2 separate regions of the Mus musculus genome follow, and region 1 is reported to be linked to region 2. Evidence: microRNA targets listed by miRTarBase, many of them from high-throughput screens and not tested one by one. Region 2 holds a microRNA gene; the other region holds the end of a gene's coding sequence.
What was found. Region 2 holds the annotated microRNA mmu-miR-1941-5p (AGGGAGAUGCUGGUACAGAGGCUU, at 1,157-1,180, opposite strand). A microRNA usually pairs through its seed, bases 2 to 8, with sites in the 3' UTR of a target mRNA and lowers its output. Matches are read on the target gene's strand: a 7mer-m8 pairs with bases 2 to 8, a 7mer-A1 pairs with bases 2 to 7 and ends in A, and an 8mer does both.

Region 1: miRTarBase lists Mtpn as a target of mmu-miR-1941-5p. Seed matches in the 3' UTR shown: 7mer-A1 at 758-764.

The regions. Positions count from the first base shown.
Region 1 is chr6:35,509,827-35,512,826 of GRCm38, forward strand. Mtpn (myotrophin) reads right to left here. Exons shown (of 4, transcript NM_008098.4): 4 at 1-2,491. The coding sequence ends at 2,405. Among named protein-coding and RNA genes, the nearest start is that of Mtpn, 29 kb to the right of the region's middle.
Region 2 is chr15:101,367,396-101,370,543 of GRCm38, reverse strand. It overlaps Mir1941 (microRNA 1941), which reads right to left and starts at 1,192; the gene lies at 1,110-1,192. Krt80 (keratin 80) reads left to right here and starts at 382. Exons shown (of 9, transcript NM_028770.3): 1 at 382-789. The coding sequence starts at 490. The region is part of intron 1 of Gm35853 (a long non-coding RNA gene); the gene reads right to left.

The DNA of each region.
Region 1 (3,000 bases), not on the chromosome of region 2:
TTGTACCAAAAGCAGACATTTTAGCTTCATTTATTCAAAAATATTAACATTAAGTGTCATGAATTTCTCTGCCAAGTGGTTCAGAAATACATTATAAATAACCTAGTTTTTTTTTTGTTTATTTTTGTTTATTATTTTTTTAAAGAAACTGTAAACCATCCTGGTCAGTCTATCCTAGTCTATGTTTATATGCTATTTTCTCAAGCAATCACTTCATAGCTATGGGTTTACAAAATGGCCAACAAAGGGGGAAGGCAAAATAGCCTCTACTGCATTACAAGGAACACTGGGATAAACTGTACAAAGAATCATATGGTTTTGGTACCATAATGACTGTAGAAAGCAGACCCAAGTTCTGGAATGATAAGACAATATACACTCTGCAATAGCCAACTATAACAGAAGACTTTGAAAGAAAAATTGAAAATTGTGTAAAGGGTAAAATTCAAGCCTTTAAAATAGTATGCCAAGAGGTGAAAACAAAGGTCTCAAAACACCCTGTTGCATTATATTGACTCATAGACTGATCATGTGCCTTCCACTTCCTAGCAGAATGTCCAACTCTATAGCTGCTTGGCCTTTTGGTTAAGATTAAGTGTAGGATATCCAACTCTAGTAGGCTGCATTAAAACAGCAGAGCTAGCCAAATATATCAAAGTATTTAAACTACTGTTTTGTGATTGTTTTCTTGGACATAGAAAAACTACAGGGGCAGGCTAGTTGAAAGTGAAAAAGCCACAGGATAAAAAAGAGTTCATGGGAGAACACACACACACACACACACACACACACACACACACACACACACCCCAACCAATTATCAACTGATTAATAGTTATTAGCCAGGCTGATTGTTCTTAGTAATAGTTTAACCCTGCTATATAATGCTACAATGCCTTAAAAAAAATCAGTTAGGTTTTTAATATTATTATCCCTAATGTGATTATAAGTCCCTATCCCATCACCTACCCTTTAAAAATTTGAGGTACATTCAATTATTGCATGATTGGCTATGGAAAGATTCTAATAGTTTTTGTAATCCTGTATAGATGGCAAATTAAAAGCAAAAGACATCTTAATACTTAAAGTGTAGGCCATCAAATTTAAGGTTGTATGTTTTAATTCATTTTATTGTTCATGAAAGAAAAAGTTAGAGATAAGTTTCTCTTATCTGCAGGTCCTAGGAATACCGTTTTAGGGCACTGTATTATAAGAACACAGAATGCATTTTGAAGTTGTCACATGTATGCAAAGAATGATTGTTAAGATAAAAACACCATGCAGGTGGGGTGGTACTGGCCCAGCAAGAGTCTATTACCAGCTCAGGAGAACATGGTAACAAGAATGTTTTTGAAGGGATGAGGTCCCATCTGTCCAAATACAGTACATCTCACCCCAGTGATACCTTTGGTGCACTATAAAATCAGCATCCATGGTGGGTTTTTGAGAGGCATTCCAAAGAATATTCTTCATTCTCCAAACACAACGAAGGCTGGCTCACTCAAATAGCAAATGAAGAAACTCCATAGGTACTAAGACAACTGTTCTCTCTTTATAAGATACTAACACGCTTATGGCTATGATTTTATTTTTAAATCTCCTTTACTACCAGAAGGAGTCTCAAAGTGTTTCAATGTTATATAAATGTCTGAGTCTAAAGGAGAAAAAAAGAAATAAGCCTACTGGAATGATTCCTCCTTTAGGCTCCTAGAATTTAACATTTTATAAATAAAACTAGTCAGTTTTATCTAAAGAGACATGAAATTGATGTGAAAGGGGAGAGAAAATCCAAAGTTTAGTCATCCAGCAATTCAGGAGTGCGCTGCTCCTTACCTTATCTAAGCTCTTATGTAAAGATTAACGTCATTCTAGAGAGATTTTGGTCACTAACCGCTCTTAACTAGCCAGGAGCCCCCAGGAGAGTGCATTCTTAAGGCAGAAGGCTATAGCTAATTGCTTATCTCAGCACCCTATGTTGACATAACAGCAGCCACTACTGCTCACAGCTAGGGCTACCAAATAAGTAGAGTTGGCCTTGTATAGTCAGACCTTCAATAAACTAATTAATAAATTAGCTAGGGAGCTGAGAAGGTCCAATGATTCCAATAGACTGTATTTTTGCTCTCCCTTGGGAATAAGCTGTATATTTTACTGGAAATGAAAAACAGGCTGGTTTGATCAGGAATCCCAGTAAAAGTCTCATCACATTCCCCACTGCTCCTCCAAAACATGTTTTATTCCCCTCCCCTGGCAGTCTGATTTGTTATGAATTTCTCTCTCCCTTCACCCTCTTAAAGTATTTAGCTGAAGAAGCTGGCAGATAGAAAGTGACAGACAGACAGGCAGCAGTGTGAGGCCACAGGAGAGTCATCCTTCCCAAGTTATCAGTCCGTCCATCCATCTATCACTGGAGAAGAGCTTTGATTGCCTGGTTGTCAGTGGCTTCAAGGGCGGTCAGTCCATCTGGGCCTTTCACAGTCTTATCAGCACCCTGAAAAAGAGAGGAGAGAACCTTCTTTAACTGAACTTACACTAGGGAACAGCAAGTGCCAGAGGTGGCTATGTGGCATAGGCCTTTTTTATACTCTGATTCCTAGAATCCATGGTGGAAGGCCTGAACCAACTCTGGACAGTTGTCTTCTGTCCTTCATACTGAGCTATAACACATACATGGCTATACTCACATACATACAATAATAAGATAAAAATATTTTAAAATGCATTTTTTTGGTGTTAGAAATTATAAGAAACAAAACAACTGTCTTAATTACTGTTTTGTTGCTGTAAAGAAACACCATGACCAAGGCAACTTATAGAAAAAAGCATCTAATTGGGGGCTTGCTTAAAGTTTTAGAGAGGTAGTCAATGACCATTATGGTAGGAAGGAATGAGAGCAGGCATGACACTAGAGGAGTAGCTGAGAGCTTACATCTGATTCATAAATCCAGATTGAGAGATTGGGAATGGTGTAGGTTTTGGAAATCTCAAAGCCCAACTGCA
Region 2 (3,148 bases):
TCAGGGCTACACTTGCTTCATCTTTTCCAGAAGTATGCGAGCCCAGATACGTCAGCCTTTCGGTATGCAGCGTGATCTGTGGCTGGCTGCCCGCCTTTCTCCCTGCTCCTTCCTTCAGAACTTCGCCTTCTTGGCACTGACCACCCGGCCCCACCCTGCCCCACCCAGCCAGCCCGGCCGCAGGCCCCCTCCTCAGTCAGGCCCCTCTTGCAGGGGACTGTGACAAGCCCCTTCAACAAGGCAGAGCCCCTGTAGGGCAGACAGAAAGCTGTGGTACGGGGAGGGCGGGAGCCACATCATCTAACTAACAGGTTGGTCTGGCTTGGAGGAGTCCCGCCCTCCTGTAGCTAATGAACACTATGCAACAGGTGTTTTCGCCTCAGTCCCCAGCCGGCCCTGGATGTGACAGGAGGCGGCTGCCAGCCACCAACTCCAAATCTCCCTAGCTCACTGGTGAGCCCTCCGGCTCCCAGGCCCAGGGGGGCCACCATGGCCTACCGCTCCTGCGTCGTTGGCTTCAGCAGCCTCAGCGGCTGTGAGATGACCCCTGCGGGCAGTCCCCAGCCTGGGACCTCAGGATGGGGCAGCTGTGGGCTCCCTGGGCCTGGCTTCAGCTCTCGAAGCCTCACAAGCTGCAGGCCAGCTGGCACCATCCCCAAGGTGACTGTGAACCCCAGCCTGCTGGTGCCTCTGGACCTCAAGGTGGATCCAGCTGTTCAACAGCAGAAGAATCAAGAAAAGGAGGAGATGAAGGCTCTCAATGATAAATTTGCCTCCCTGATTGGCAAGGTGAGCTAAGTGGGAGAGGGCACCAAAACAGAAGGGCCCCAGGCTTTCCAGGTGACCTGGCTGGTGGTTCCCTGAGCATCGGTCATGCCCCGCCCCTGATCCCAGCCAATGGGGATGCAGCATGGCTAAACCTGCAGAGATGGGTTAGGGAAACCTGATACATCCTGGTGTCTGGGGTGAAAGGAACTTCAGGGTGACTCTGCGGGGTACTGGATAAGGGTGCACTACCTGGCTGGGGATGGGAGGGCTCCGTGTACCCCTGTAACAGTCAAGGGGTGCTTCTCGGGATGGCCTATGGAGGTGTGGCCTGCTGACTTCTGCCCAGGTGGGTGGATGGGAGATACTGCTAAGATGCCCTCAAAACCCCAAGCCTCTGTACCAGCATCTCCCTCCCACCCTGCTGGCTTTCCCCATTCATCCGTAGAGCCACTGTTCTGGCAGGTCCAAAGGGGTGGGGGTGGGAGCGGGGGCAGAAGGAGGCTGCCATGGAGTTTGTATGAGTAAAGACGCAACTTTGGCTTGTCAGGAGAAAGGAATGTAGAGGACTGTGTCAGAATCCAGCCAGCAGCCAACAGTTGGCCTGCTTTGCACTCACCTAGGTGGAAGGAACAGGCCCCTAACAACATGGCCCCCACACTTCCTAGACTCACTGCCTGCAGCTAGCCTAGGGCTTCAGGAAGTCCTGTCTACCTTCCAAGCCTGTGCCCACTCAACCACTCCAAGAAGCCTCTGTGAACAATCCTCCCAGCCCTGCTTCCTCCTGTGTCAGAGCCGCACTGACTGAACTACACACTGGTGTGCTAGGCACCACAGGGCACCTCACAGGTTCACCTCAAATCCCCTTAACTGTAAAGAAAGACATCTCATGACTTTGCGCAGAACAGGGAACCCTGGCCAGTCCTTATCTGCCTCTTGGTTTCTGAGTCTGCAAACCCTTGCACATTTCTGGGGTCCTGAGCTGTGGGGGTGTACAGACAGACAGGCAGTGAGAAGAGAGTGCCACGTGTGGCCTGGATGCCTGAATGCCACAGGAACGTAGCAAGGCGGCGGTGGGCCAGTGCTAACTAACATCACTACAAACGTTGTTTTCCCAGCTGTGCAGATGAGGCAATAGGACCAGAGAGACTCATTGCATTGCCCAGAGTCACAGAGCCAACAACTGATACGGTTTATATTTAAACTCAGGTCTGTGTGTGTATGATGTGTATGATGTGTATGTGTGTATGACAGACAGACAGACAGACAGACAGACAGACAGACAGACAGACAGATAGACAGAGACAGAGAGAGAGAGAGATCTGAGGCAGAAATGGTGTCTTTCCCTGCCTCTTCTGACTAGTTCAGAGTCTCCTCATTTACATCCAAGATGCCCACATTGGGGGAGGAGCAAGAAGACCTTTCCACAGCTGCAGATGGAACCCACGGCCTGAGAGGTAGGCCCTGCAGAGGTGCCTCCTTGACAAGCCTGGCTAATCCCTTAAAAGGAGTGCTTCGCTGAACTATGTAATTTGGCTCCCATGGGTGGCTTTTCTCTCCTTCGAACGATTGCCAATGCTGATGTCACTCTGTGCCACTGCCATGGGCACCGGGTGGGAACCGTGGGTGTGGGCCCAGGGAAGGAGCCCTCACAGTTAGGGTCCTTGAAGGTCCTTAGCAGAACTCAAGCTTCCTAGCTCTCAAAGTTGGCCTTGAGGTGGGGTGCCCATCACTGTAGGGTACAGGGAACTATGGGTTCCAGCCCTGTGCTAAGCAGAGGCTTGGGAGACCCCAAGGGACTAAAAAAGTATTAGAACCCTATTTCTGAGTTTGAACCCTGGACCCACCACCAGTCTGCTGTGTAACTGCAGGCAACCTGCTGAACCTCTCTGGGCCTCAGTGCACATCCATGTAATGGGTTTCTCAATCAAATGGGACGACTTTTGAATAGTAGTTGGAACACATCTAGCAGATAGTGCAAGTTTTCTGAGCAAATAAGCCTCATTCAGGGAGCTCCTAGCCACACACACCGCAGGCCCGAAGAGGAAGGGAAAGGATGGGGAGGGGCCATAGGGCAAGGCACAGCCCAGGCTTCAGAGAGAAGTACTGGCAGGGAAAGCACAGAAAATGGATTCCAGGCCCAGAGCAAGGCTGGGATCCTGAGCAGAGAAGAGGAAGGAGGACTCCACTCCTCTCCCCCTTCGAAGCCTTCTGCCTCCCAGAGAAACGAGTGCTTGTGGAAGCGAAGGGAGTCGTTCCTCTAGAGCCCGGCAGAAAAGCCTACCACTGTGGTGTGTGCTTGCCTTGAAGTCTGTGTTTCCTTAAGTAAGTCACTTACCCTCTCTGTGCCTCAGATTCTGGGGCTCCTGCCGGTGGGGGGCTA